Linked DNA regions of Caenorhabditis elegans. The protein of the gene in region 1 purifies or fractionates together with the protein of each later gene. This does not show direct contact. Each region holds a gene or a part of one and is shown in the gene's direction. Other genes may lie near its edges.

The links. The genes of interacting proteins can lie anywhere in the genome.
Region 2: the proteins of fbxc-14 (region 1) and ttr-27 fractionate together in Caenorhabditis elegans (co-fractionation; one large-scale study listed by BioGRID). This does not show direct contact.

What each region holds. Positions count from the first base shown.
Region 1 is NC_003280.10:969,901-977,675, forward strand, and holds fbxc-14 (F-box domain-containing protein), read left to right. Parts: upstream 1-4,398; 5' UTR 4,399-4,402; coding exon 4,403-4,473; intron 4,474-4,671; coding exon 4,672-5,415; intron 5,416-5,472; coding exon 5,473-5,611; 3' UTR 5,612-5,645; downstream 5,646-7,775. Other genes in the region: C32B5.6 (Resolvase/invertase-type recombinase catalytic domain-containing protein), read left to right, coding at 126-189, 346-500, 545-619; C32B5.15 (F-box domain-containing protein), read right to left, coding at 745-862, 910-1,530, 2,707-3,050; fbxc-17 (F-box C protein), read right to left, coding at 6,358-6,472, 6,528-6,962.
Region 2 is NC_003283.11:12,901,233-12,908,191, reverse strand, and holds ttr-27 (Transthyretin-like family protein), read left to right. Parts: upstream 1-4,093; 5' UTR 4,094-4,108; coding exon 4,109-4,274; intron 4,275-4,321; coding exon 4,322-4,587; 3' UTR 4,588-4,642; downstream 4,643-6,959. Other genes in the region: ttr-29 (Transthyretin-like family protein), read left to right, coding at 1,461-1,647, 1,695-1,822, 1,872-2,009; ttr-28 (Transthyretin-like family protein), read left to right, coding at 3,024-3,207, 3,557-3,684, 3,745-3,882.

The sequences.
Region 1 (7,775 bases):
TATCGAACGTTAGTCTTGCAGCTCCTGATAGTCTTGCAGTCTTTATTAGTCTTGCACAATTAGTCTTGCATGCAAGACTAATAGAGAAAATACGGTATTTTAAATATAATAAGCATTTCTTTCAGGTCATTGATTCAATGGCATCGTTAGTCGACCTGTACACCATGGACTCCCGCGGGCTCCACGAAAGTATGTTTTTTTTTCTAATTGATCTGAAAAAAAATTGATGTTGTATTCTTACGATAAATTTTATTTCGTTTTCTAAAACTCACTCATAAGTGAGTAAAAATCGATAGAAGTTATAAGATAGCGAAAATCCGAGCTTCAATCAATTTTTTTTTTCAGTTTGCGACTTGGCTACACCTTTCTTCCAACTTCTTGCCCATCCACGCATTTCGATGGAGGTCAAGTTATTGATTAACAGACTCAAAGGAGTATTATTGACTCGTGATGCAGCGATTCTTCAGTTGATAATTCAGGTTTACGAGAATATTGCCGAGGTGAGCTTACATAGCCATTCTTTCTCGAACCGTCTAATTTTCAGGGCGATCAAGAGGCTGAGGAAGCCGACGAGCGAGTGAAAGCGTTGCTGGCTGAACGCTTCGGGAATGACATTTAATTAACAAAAATTTGCAAATACTATTATTTTACTTCTTTTGGAATGTACTGTAAATTTATCTGGATTATTTTAACGATAAACAACATCTCACTATGTAAACCAAGTGATTACAAAAAATTAGAAACTTAAAGTTGCCATTGAACCAGTCCAAATGACTTGGGTTTGACCAAAATTGATATCAGTCGTCCATTACTTGAGATATCAAGCCATTCTTCACAATTGATAATTTTTTCGAGAGTTTCTCTGAAAAAAAACGAGTCTACAGATTAGTTCCCCAACAAATCACCCACTCGTTGCAATAATCTATGGGTCGTGTGGCAGGATCCCATGGTTTTGCATTAACTTCTTGATAAATGTTTTCCACGTTCAATTGGTAGCCGGGAGCTAAAGAAAAGGTCATTGTTTGGATGTTTTGAAAATTTATGTCCGTTGTCCATTGGTGCAACCAGTGCATAACTTGTTCAGACGAAATAAATGCATTTTTGGCGCTTAAATGACGCCCCTTGAATCGAGGGATTACACTGTCAGCCATTAAACATGAACTACCAAGAAACAATCTCTTGATTGAGAACAAACCACATTCATCTTTAAGTTCACCATCTATCTGTGGATACAACGACAAACTGCCTAAGTTCGGCCATGTCGAAAAGATTTGATCTAGAAAGGTGATTGGGATTGTATCTAGCTTAACCATTTCACTTAGAATAATGTGGTTGACATTTCGAATATTTGAGAAATGGTGAATCTTTTGTTGACTCATTCCTTGCTTCCAAAAAAATATTATATTTGATTTGAGATGTGTTTGGTGGAGGTTCAAAATCGTGTTTCGAAGCATTTCGTGAACTACTTTTAAGGTTGATCCATTGAAATAAAATTTGATTATACTGCTGGCTTCATGGCACGGAGTTGCGCTGAAATGCAAAATTAAAATTATTTACTGTGCTGGCCACAAACGGGGCTTCGTGAATTTTGGACTGTGTTAAATTAACCATAACTTAAAAGCTAATCATTATTTTCGAAAACGGTCAACTAACAAAACGTTGGTCATTATGTTGTTGACATTGCCTGACCGATATTATTTTACAAAAACTGCCCTGAAAAACGGTACAGCGACAGACATCTGGCTGGTCGATTTTTGACCTCGAATCTGAAATCGTCTGTAACTCAAGAAAAAATCGCTTCCATGAGAATAATTGAATTAATAACATGATCTTCATAAACATTTATGCCCTATGCATATAATAACTTTGTCCTCAACCCGCCGGGAAGTGAATGATATACAACTAAGCCTATATATTCCAAACTGTTGTGGATCATATTTCATAAAAATGATAGGACTTTTCAGAGTATTGTTTTCAGGCGTGAAACGACCTACATAACTATGATAAATTATTGATTCTTCAAAAAAACAAATGAATAATCAAAAGCAATCATTATTTTCGAAAACCGGCAACTAACACAATGTTGGCCATTATGTTGTTGACATTTCCTGACCAATATTATTTTACAAAAACTGCCTTGCAAAACATTACAGCGGCAAACATATGGCGGGTCGGTTTTTAACCTTGAATCTGAAATTGTCTGTAACTCGATAAAAATTGCTTCCATGAAAATAATTGTATTAATGAAATAATTTTTACTAAAGATGGAAGCGATTTTTTCTTGAGCTACAGACGATTTCAGTCAAAAATCGACTAGCCAGATGTCTGTCGCTGTACTGTTTTACAAGGCAATTTTTGTAAAATAATACTTATCAGACAATTTGAACAACATAATGACCAGCATTTTGTTAGTTGACAGTTTTCGAAAACAACGTTTAGTTTTTCAATTATGGCCATTCAAACAAAGCCAAAAAAAAAAACGAAAAACCGTTTGTGCATATCTTTTTGGCCAGCATTGTATTTACAGTAAGACTTTTGTATTACATGTGTAATATGGACATATTGGATACCCTATACTTACAGTCTTTCGGTCAGAACTTTTCAAAGTACAGTTTTTGAAAATTTTGATTGAGCTCGGCTGCGCTTAAGAGAACTCAAAAACGCTGATAATCAGGCTAGTATATTTTCAAAACGTAAGGAACTGACCAGTAAACCATTGTTTGTCCAATTTTCAATTTAAACCACTTTTCTTGCTGAATAATGTCTTCTCTTGACGCTTCTCTAATTAAAAACGATAAGTGTTCACTTAAATTATTAATGTCCTTCATTTGCATGACGTAAGAACGTTCAACGGATAAATTCGAACACGAATGGATCATCGACGAGTATCCTTTTTTTATTGATTTTCTGGCCAACGTTTCAGTTTTGGAAGAGCAAAATGAAAAGTTAAGCACGTCGATGAAGCTCATTTCCTGAGGAATTTGCCTACGGATCACAAGTGGAAAGGTGAAGAGGTTGAAGGGCATTCTGAAAAAAAAAACTATATACATTATGTAATAAGAGGAAATGGTAAGCAGCAACTTATAGAGAAAAGAGAAAATTCAATACAAAAGTAATTGTTTTTTTTTGAAAAAAAAAATTGTGCATAGTGATAGCGATAGTGCAGGATTAATTATCAATAGAATTGTATAAGTGCCAGGCTCATAAAAAACAGCGATTGAAAATAAAGCCATTGAGTACAGAGCAAAACCGATTAAAGCCTCGATGTTTTATTCATCTTGATTTGAACTTCAACATTTTCGGGGAAAAAAACGATAAAGCACCATGAATATAACATTCATACAACATTTGGTGGTACCTAAAAACTTCAAAAATATGGAGCTGTGTGCTGGCCAACCGAGGGGTCAACCATGTGACGTATTGCGTCTTCCCACCGATGCAGTCTCCCGCTGGTCTATGGAATTGCGGGAGGCGTCAACTTGCAGGACCAATTTTTCGCTGAAAACGGTTAAAGGTGGAGTAGCGCCAGTGGGGGAATTGCTTTAAAACATGCCTATGGTACCACAATGACCAAATATCATAGTAAAAATTAAAAAAAAAATTTCTAAATTTTATATGATTTTTTGAAAATTGAAAAAATCTCGAATTGCATCAAATTCCTATTTGAATTACCGCCAATAGTTCGATGTTCGATGGAGCGCGCTTGCATTATTTTAAATTTAAAATTTCGAATCTAAATCTTTGAAATAGATTATTTCAGGCTCAACGTCGTTGAAAAACGTGATATCTCTGTTTTCAATTATTTTTAGTGAACAATCTACATTTATCTTGAATTTTTCGATAAATCTCCAGTAAAATTACTCAAAAAAAAACATGAAAAATCAATTAAAAATAAGAAAAATTAATAAATAAAAGTTAAAATAATGCAAGCGCGCTCCATCGAACATCGAACTATTGGCGGTAATTCAAATAGGAATTTGATCATTGTGGTACCATAGGCATGTTTTAAAGCAATTTCCCCACTGGCGCTACTCCACCTTTAACTAGCAACATGTATAGATTCTTCTTATGAAATCTAATTTGCAAAAATTAGAGCGGTCTGATGGACTAGATTTTCTGAGCACTTTTTTTTTACGAGTCTACTGTTCAACAGAGTGAAATTTAGAATTGAAAGCTTAATAACTGCCGAGAGTTTATAGGGCCCCAGGCCCTATAAACTCTGACTAGATCTTGCCTACCTGTTTTTTTAGACAAAACACCATCTGTCCTAAATAACCGTACCACCCTTTTGCTCAGCGAAATGACCCCAGCTGCAAATGCGCCCTAATTTCCAGCCAATATAAAATCGATATAATCTCAGTGGGGTCTTGCTGTGCCATTCTCGTCGTTACACCTGCACACTATGTTAAATTCAAAACCAGTAAGCTACCAAGTATTGAAGTTCATATTGAAGCATTTGGATCCAAGTTTGAGGTGAGTATTTTGGCTTGGAAAAGTTACGTATTTAGAGGGTTGAGTTTTGAGAATGACGGAGTTTTCGGAGTTGAAATTTTTGGGTATAGAGGAAATTCATCCAAATCACAGCTCACATTATGTTTCAAGCTTTTTGCTCAAGTGCCACACAATTTTTTAATACATAGCTAAACCTACCTAACTATAAGTATATTTCAGAATCCAACTCTGCCTCGTCTGCCCTTCAATTCATACCTTAGAAAAATCAACCCCTTCCTACATCCACTATCTCAAGATAACAGATAACAGCGTGACAGTTAACCGGGTAACCTGTCAAATTACAGTTACCGATAGAAAAGTTGATTATCAATTTGATATCAATCAATTCCCAAGTATCAGTGGTACAGTCGAACTAAGGAATAGTAGAAATAATCTGACCAAAACTATGAAGTACCTTCTCGACAAACTCTTTAAAGGAAGAACTGTGAAAGTGGGCCAACTTGCAATTTCTTGTGAAAATCCTCTACGGGTTCCGTTAGCTGCCAGGATCAATGTCAATGTTTTGGAGGTTTTTGATTCCCGGAGCTTGTCGGCTGCTAGTTCACTAATTGCAAACTCTTGTCTACCATTAAGCTTGATAAAACTCCCATTTAAAAGCCTTCTGAAGACTAATAACAATCCAATTACATCAATAGTAAACCGAAAAACTAAAAAATGGCACTTCAAAGCTCCAACCACAGCTCCACACAACCTCAGGCGGGTACTGACGTTCCTGCAAAATCGGAGAGTTACAACTGCACATTTCGAAAGGGGACACTTCTGCTTTTCAATTGTTATAGAATACTTTATGGGTGATAGTGATATAGAAAATGGAACTTATTATACATTTGACACAACTAGGGGAGCTGTATTTGTAGTTATGGAGAGGAGTAGGAAGAGGTATAAAGCGATGTTGGAAGATGGGTAAGTTAATCTAAGGTTGAATATTTTCAAAAAAAATCTAAAGTTGAATACTTTCAGATCTTCTCGACGTTCCAATCAGCTCACCATCAAGAAGAACAGCACCTCGAAATTGGTTATCAGCAAGATACAGCAGGGAGATGCATGGATTTTGGGTTTCAAAATTGAGCGGCGAAGACTTTTCCCTACTTTTTTTTGAGAACAACTAATCGTTGAAAAAATGAAAGAATTCCTATGAAACTGTTTTGTCTTGTGACTTGAGAACTATCGGATTTCTGTGTTTTTGGAAAAATATCACAGCGGCAGACATCTGGCAGGTCTGATATAGTTTTCGTTTAGAAAGATTCGTACTTTTTACAACTTTTCTAAAACCTCTCCATCCCAAAAAAGAAGATTTTGCAAGGGTCGAGCCACTTTCAGAAGATACTCGATCAAAAGCTTCTGCATGCCAGGTCAGGATAATTCTGAAGCTAGAGATCTGGTTCAGGGACACCTGATCAAGTTATTTGACCACGTCCAGCTGACCACCACTGTGCTGCTGCAAATCTGCTCTAATTGTCAACGGGTCGAAAGAATTACATTGGGGTTCTCTTGGTCATTCTAGCCTCTTACCAGTTGATCCTAACATTGAAATGCTTAACATTTTCCTAGGCTGAAACCAAAATTTCATCAAAATCACCCTTGAACATAATAAAAAATAATAAAAATGTGATGCCTCGTTAGGGATCGAACCCCTGGCCTATTGCTCCATACAATTTTTCCTCTTAGCTCTTCCCAGTTGAGCCAAAAGCCCCTCTTAAAAAATCAAAGATCAAGTTCCCGGGGTAAAATTTCCAGTGGAATTCGAATTTTTAGTCTAAAATTGACTAAATTTCGTATCTAGACCAGTATATTTCATATGTATATTCATTACTCAAAAAAAAAGAATTAAAAATATCAGTTTATTCATCGGCTTTCCACTTTCATTTTCAAAATCCACGAATTTCCATTTTGAAACTTCTTGATTACCACTTTGGAGGTCCCGTTCAAGTTTAATGTGATCCGATTGTTTCCTGCTTGTCTAAGTGAGAATTAACTTTAAAATTTAAACAAAAAGTTTCAAAAAAAAAACTCACTGAACCCTGCTCCAATAAGCTCTCCTAATATTCACCATAGCCTGATCTATCTCTTCCTGTTCAGTCTGAAACGTGTACTGAGTTCCGGGCTCTCTTTCACGTCTCATCCAGCGCCTTAAGACTTTTGGGTACCACAAATCTAGGAGCCATATTACAAGTTCCCCTTCACGTCTGACAGGATCGTTATTCACATTGAATCTGAGTCTAGTTGGAGCAACTCGCACGTCAAGCCTTACTTCATTTGGATCTTGCTCCATTTCTCTGGCATCTTGAATATCATATTGTTCGACGTCAAATTCTTGGTCAAAAACAGATAATAAATAGGTAGACCCGTTTATTATTATACGATGGTCAGTAAGTTTCAGGTACCTGATGTGCAGGGGTACCGACTTTTCCAGGTTCTGAATGGAAGGGCATCTAGTGCAGAGTTGGAATCTAAAATTTAAATTGTTTAATAGAACAGAAAGCTATTAATAATAATAATAATTAATAAGTATGCCTATGACCTGGTTGACCTTTTTTTCTATTTTTTTAATTGACTAGCAGGCCCTGCGGGCCCGCCAGTTGTAGGGGGTGTAAGGCGAGTCCCCCTGCCGGGCGTAGGTTCTCGGCTTCGCCTCGAACCTGTTAGAGGGTTCGTGAAATTTTCAGTGGGTCAATGTCTTCTTGATTTTCGAGTTCGGTTTGACCAAAAACAGTCGCACCCGATGAATCAGTTAAAGCTGAGTTTTGATTGATTGAAGTTTGAGGAGGATTTATATGGGGGGAGACGTACCCATATTTTGTATAAAATCGAGTATTACTATATAATATTCGAATCCCGAATACTCAAAAAAAACAAAAATGTTTGTCAGTTGGTAGAATTGAACCCACTACCAAAATTTCCACAGACATAAGCACTAACCACTCGGCCATGCGGGAGAGAGCTTAAACTGGAAGTAAGGAAGGTGAATTTCTGGAGGGAGTCGTCTTTCGATTCCGCTTTCTTCAATAATTACATTTTGAGAAAAGGCGTTCGAAAACCGTTTATTACTGATATGTCAGCGGGAAAACGAATTTTTGAAAATTTTATTACAGGATTGTACTCATTATTGATTTCCCAAAAAGGAGACGTACAGTTGAGGGCTATATCTTGTACACAGACAGATGTATAGAAAAAAACAAGTTTTGGCCTGAAAATTAATAAAAATAATATCTCTTGGCAGAGTATTTCTAATGCGACGAAACTTCATCTTTCATTAAATAAAA
Region 2 (6,959 bases), on another chromosome or scaffold:
TTGTATTTTAAACATTCCAGCGGGCTAGCATCTGCGGCAATTCTCTGATTTTTCTCAAAAATCTGGCAATTTACCTAAACTTATAGTTAGACTGAAAACTTTTGAATATATATGAAAAAAATTCTATTCAATAGAGAAAAATGGATACATAAAATGTTTATCATCTATTTCAATCAAACAAGGAGCTATAAAACAGAAGAATTGAACCCAAATGACCCTTTTCCTTACATCATTTCAATTCAAAACAGGTGGTGAAACAGAATTCTTGATGGTACCAAAGACAACTGAATACAGCTGCAATTTCAACATGAACCAACGACAGATGTCTTCTCATTTCGAAAAGTGCACATTCAACGACCCATTTTTAGCTATCAACAATTCATCAAAAAAGTCCTGAAGTACATCCATTTTGAAGTGAAAGGAAGAATTCATAATTCTTTTTTTCTTTCCTCAAAGTTTATTTTTTGTACGAGATGTGGAACGACGGAAGAGAGCTACGACGATTACTGTGTAATAATCGAAAGGTCACATTTCTTCTCGCGCGGCTTTTCTTTGGGTAAGTGACACGAGAAGCGGTCGAGATTGCTCTGATGATTGATTTAGATGGGGGAACGTCAAATGCTCTCACAATCAGCAATAACTTTGAATAGTTGTTTTTAATTGTAGGAAGTTGAAATCTTAATGACAGAAAGATTTTAAAACAGTAGCTGGAAGAATTATTCCATTACTGGAACACACAATTACGAGAAAAGCGTTTTGCGCAGTATATTTGACGCGCAAAATATCTCGTAGCGAAAACCACAGTAATTTTATGAAGAACTACTGTAGCGCTGGTGTCGATTTACGGGCTCGATTTTCGAAACAATTTTCTGCTCGAATTGTGGCAACGATATTTAATTTTCTTTAGTTTTTTCGTATACTTTATGCTTTCTTTCGATATTTTATCGATAAATAAACGATGTCCGTAATTAGACATAAGCGCTACAGTAACCTAGTAAAGAGTTTCTGTAGTTTTCACTACGAGATATTTCGCGCGTCAATTATGTTGCCCAAAACGCAAATCTCAAAATTTAGCGTTCCCGTCATACTACAGCGAGCAGATTTGATTCGTTCCAGAGGTTTTTGGCCGAAGAAATTGTCGCCAAGTCGATTTTTGTGCAAATCCATTCAAACACTCCATTTTTTGAAATTGGAGTTCTGCTTTTCGATTTTATTTTCAAATTCGTTTATCTATTCTGTGTAATGTGGATTATTATTGTTCATCCCTCATATCAAATAGAGACCAAAAAGTGAGAAACTGTGATGAACAACAACAATTTTCTTTTCAAACAAACAAAGAAAAATCGTATTAACTTTGTAGGTAACCTCCGCCCAATATTGACTTAACTGCACATGTGAAAGCAAAGACAAAACCGTATTTAAGTCAAAATGAACATGTGAAAATCATAGTTTAACACGTCATGGTCATAAGGTTAGCTTCCCTTCTTGTCGCCTTGACATTGGTCTTTTGCCAAGAAGACAATGAAATTGTTACCAAAAACTTTCTCGGCATCGGAAGAATGCAGGCTGTAGCTGTTTCTGGAAGACTAATCTGTAATGGACGACCAGCTACAAATATTAAGATCAAACTGTATGAAAATGAGATTCGTAAGTTCTACTATGAAATTGCCTTCCGAAAAAATATTACATTTGAGTGTTTGATCGACTCATGGAAGAAAGCCGTACAGATTCAAATGGACAATTCAGAGTTTCTGGCTCAAAACGAGAAATTTCAAGGATTGACCCAAAAGTCAACGTTTATCACAAATGCAATTATAATGGGGTTAGATTTGTGTGTTTGTCAATTTTTTAAATTAAATGTGAATTTTCAGTTGTGCTCCAAAAAATTCACTATAAAAATTCCAAAGGATTATATCAACCGTGGTAGTCAAGCAGAACGAACATACGATATAGGAACACTAAACTTGGCAAACAAATATCCAGGAGAATCTACCGATTGTATTAATTGATTGATTTGGTTACTTTTAATTACACATATTTTCAAATAAACTATTCATGAGCAGGTCTTGTAGAATAATTGAATTTAATAGTAAGTATTATTGACTTTTTCAGCCGCTGCGTTTCTTGTCAGACAACAGTTATTCTGTAAGATAATTCAAAAAATTGTAATATTGATTGTGGCTCAATTTTTTGGGCTACTCAAAGTTACCATAGCTGGGCTATGCGGCAACCAAAAGTTTAAGCAACTGGCCATTATCGCCGAAGGTGCTGAAAAGTTTCATTCACACGAAACTGTCGGTTGTCTAAATATTTCGGTAACTTTTCCGGACTTTGTCGTTCTTTTGCCAATTGCCTAACATTAATTTTCTAGTACCTGTGTTTCAGAGTATTTTAAGGAAAATTTATTCACTTTTTTATTTACAGTGAGTTGTTTGCAATTTCCATGATGTTCGAATGCTTTTTTCAAAACAAATAATATATGTATTTGATGTTGACATCACCACTGGTTCACAAGTTGCCGGTTTCTGCAAGCTGAATTTTTTGTCAACCTGCAACTATCGGTTGGCAAAATTTGTATGATAAAGTTCTTATAATACTTCGTGTTTCCTCTGACTAGTAATACACTTTTTTGAAGTCTGTGAATAAAAAAAATCGATTTTTTAACCTGCGTGTAAACCTGCGTGCTCACAAAGCAGAAAACACAGTGCGAAGGTGAATTATCTTTGAAAATTGTTCAAGAAATGTCTGTAAGTGTTTTATGACTCAACATGAGATTTGTGAAATTTATGTTGACTTAGCTACCATTTTGTTATTACCATGTGTTGCTCACTCATCAACAAAAACCACCAAAAGACCAAAAGTACGAGAGCTCGAGAAGTGTCTCTAAACACAGAAAAATCTTCTCTCAAACAAAAATCACTTAACACATGTATGGGCAACAATGTTTGCCATTTCAAAAATGTGAAACAAAAAAGTTTAAATAGTCCTGACATATGAGAGAAAAGCGTAGTTTGGATTGAAAAATGTTCATAAATATGTTAGTTTTTTCTCTGTTATGCGTTTTCGTTCTTGGACAAAACGATCCAATTGCTACAAAGGATGTATTAGGAATTGGAAGTATGCAATCAGCTGCTGTATCAGGAAGATTGATTTGTAACGGGAGACCTGCGGTTGATGTGAAGCTTAAATTGTATGAAAACGAAATATGTAAGTCGCTTTTCAATCATTTTCTACAATTTTTTTTCTATACATACAAATGTTTTTTATATTGTAATTCGAAAAAAAAATCCAGTTGTTTGGAGTCTTAGAAATAATCTCTCAAAATCACAAGTGACTCTAATAGCAAGGGCAACTTTCTCAATAAAAATTAAAAAAACAGTTCTTGAAATTCTATGAAGGATACGTTTTTAATGCTCTAACACAACCGACTGATGAATCTCCATTTTTATCAGAAAATCGGTCAATATCATAGATTATCTTGCTTCAAACTACTATCCACTACCACTATGGCATAACAATTATATTTTGATTGCTTGATTTAAAATTTTTTTTCAAGTTTTCGATCGATTGATGGAGGAGGGGCGTACTGATTCGAACGGTCAATTTCGAGTGTTAGGATCGAAAAGAGAAATCACAACTATTGACCCAAAGCTAAATGTTTATCACAAATGCAATTACAACGGGGTAAATTATTTATTGACATTTCAGAATCACTGTTTTATATTTTGGTAATTTTGTTTTTAGCTATGTGATCAAAAATTCACAATTCACATTCCAAAGGACTACGTCACTTCCGGTAGTCAACCATCACGAACTTTTGACATTGGCACATTGAACTTGGCCAACAACTTCCCAGGCCAATCTACAGACTGTTTAAACTAAGAAGTAAATAAGGAACCGATATAGTTCAGCGACAAACCACCGAAAACTTTAATTGTATTTGAGTATTTAACATTTGAAAATAAATGGTTTTTCGTACTGTGTGCCAATAGTAATTGTGTAAATAGCAATGTCTCTTTCTTTTTTCATTCCTTTCTTCAGCAAACACCTACCGTTTCTACCATATAAATAACTGTTGAGACGACAAAATTTCAGTTCAAATTTAAAAATGTGCTCTTCCCCGACTACTTTATTTTTGCTATTTGCTCTTGTTTCTACAAGTTATGCTCTATTGGGTGTTGGCCGAACACAGTCAGTTGCTGTATCTGGAAGAGTTATCTGTAATGGACAACCAGCATCTGGAGTTAAACTGAAGCTTTATGAAAAAGAATCAAGTAAGTTATGAATCTGAAACTTAGTTTCTGATTAAAATTTTTTCCAGCCTTTGATGTACTTTTGGAAGAAGCAACTTCAGATGCCAATGGACAATTCCGACTATCTGGATCAAAAACTGAAATTTCAACTATTGATCCAAAATTGAACATTTATCACAAATGCAATTACAATGGTCTCTGCTACAAAAAGATTGGAATCACTATTCCAGATAATTATGTTTCATCTGGAAAGACTCCAAGCAAAACTTATGATATTGGAACATTGAATTTGGCCAATCAATACACTGGACAAACAACGGATTGTATTAATTAAAACTAGGCACTCAAGTGATGTATTGTAAATAGTTGAATAAAATTTTGAAATTGTATTGATTCAAAAATTACTGATTGAAGTACATTCTTTATTGCCACACACCTGCTCCGAAGCCGTGGAGTATTGACATTATTCGAAGTGAAACTTGTGCATGAAAACGATTAAAAACTTCGTGTCGAAAAATTTTTTCCGTCTTGAAAAACATCACGTTTTTAAAAGTTTTATTTCTAACACAATTATGAATGTTCTGAAAATGAATGCCTTCTTTTATCAGCTACCACCACACCATTTCTGGAATTACCAACTGAATTTTTCATGCCTCTTTTATAATTTATTTTGTGTTTTGAATAACAAGTTTGGCATGTTTGCTTACAGATTCTAAATGTTCCATGAGTGAAGCTAGTAAAAAGGCAAAATTGTGTCAAAAATCCTAAAACGCATTATTTTCCCATGGGGTTCAGTTGTCGAAAGCGTCCTTCGCCTTCTTTCCTTCTCCTTCTTCATTTTTTCCTCTTCCAATTTTCATCCGTTTAGTACTACTACTACAACTACTGCCACCTGTCCATTTATTTCCAGTCATCTGTCATTTATTTCCATACAAAACCGAATGGCAATATAATAATTCGTTCGTTTTCGGAAGAGGTCGTGGAAACTTGATTGCATTCGAATTTCTTCCCCTCAAACTTGTTCCGGATATCTTATAATGGGCAGACACTTTCCTATGCAAATTCCACTCTCACCCGTTTCGCGCTCATTTTTGTGTTAATCGCCGATGGCCGCCGTTTCTAAAGAGACGCAGATTTGTTGGTCGGCATAGGAACTACCAGCTCTTGCAGAAAAAAAAAACGGAATTTGTTTTAGGCCGAGAACTCTCGGGGGTTCATTGTCCCTTGTATTGTTGGGTCAAGCTTGCCCTCGTATAGTCGTAGATGATGAATGTTTTCATGGAGATTCTACTTCTTATTCTGCAACTTCTTCTTTTTCTTCTTTCGAAAATAAAACAAGCCATTCGAAAGTTTTGAGTTGCTCTCTTTTCGATGTGTTCTGGTGGTCTAAATTCTATGTTTATTTTGTTTCTACTTGAATGACACTTTCGGCTTCTTCTTCTTTTTCTATAGTTTCCTACTAATATTATCGTTTGCATCTACTTTTCACAAAGGTTTCTTAATTTGATACTTTGCTCGAAACCGCAGACTAGAGGTCGTGTTCAGTTGTTTTCAAAATACCTTAATACTTATTTATATTAATTTATCTATTGAATTTAGTCATAATTGTTCTTGGAATCAATTTCACTGGTAACGTTTATAAGCTTAACGTTTTTGCTGGATTCTGCATATAGAGGGAACTTTTTCAAATTGGAAAAACTAATATTTTTGAACTTTCACCAAGAGGTGATAAAATTCTTGTAAATATTTTAGTAATATGCCTATTTTGCAAGATTCATAATTTCTTCTAACTGAAAAGTTTGACTCTTTGAGATGTTTAAAAACACTCCTTTGGAACTTTATTTTTTCAGAGCATTTGAGGAATTTTTTAATATTTTGCGATCGTATATCTCCCTTTCCAAAATATTTCGACTTTAATTGCTATGCATGGCTTGTCCATACAGTTGCAGTTTCAACATATAATTTTTCCGTACTATTTTCAACGTACCTCAACTATTATTTAAAAAAAACACTTTTAGTTTGAGTTATAAATTAGTTTTCTACAAAATTTGTCAAAAAATATTTTTTACTATGGAGCAAGCCAGGAAAATTTACAAAAGCGTTGTACCACAATTTCTAGACTTCTCAAGAAGGACATACATTTCTGTAATGAAGACTCTAAGAGAATCACTTGTATTTTGCAGAAAATAATAATCTCGCTAAAAGATAAGCCGGCGAGCACCAAATCGTTTTTCAAACGTAATCCTTATTGCGTAACTAACTCAAATTAACCATCTCAATCACCGATGATCGGATTAATTAAGATAACTCACCTGTCAATTGAGTTAATTGTGCACTCTCCTACCCAATCTATCCAGATTACATATTCATTTTTTCAAAGAGCTCTGCAATCGACGTCGTCTATTCTTTCTTGTTCAATCTCTCCGAATGCTTAACACAATTTCCGGACAGTCGGTTTCAATGGGTCGCTTGATTGAGAGAAAGTGTATGTGAAAGGGCTTCTCCTCTCTCACTTTATCTCCTCCTACTCTGTCACCCCCGTGTGTTCAAAAACCTACTTCTTCTTTTCTTCCTTTCACTATCCTTTTATTTTCAAAACCAGATTTTCTGACAAGAATCGTATCGGTGTGTTTCTTCATTCACCAATATGCTTCTGTTCATACTTTTATTCCATTATTCCACATTCACTCAACTTCCCTTCACACT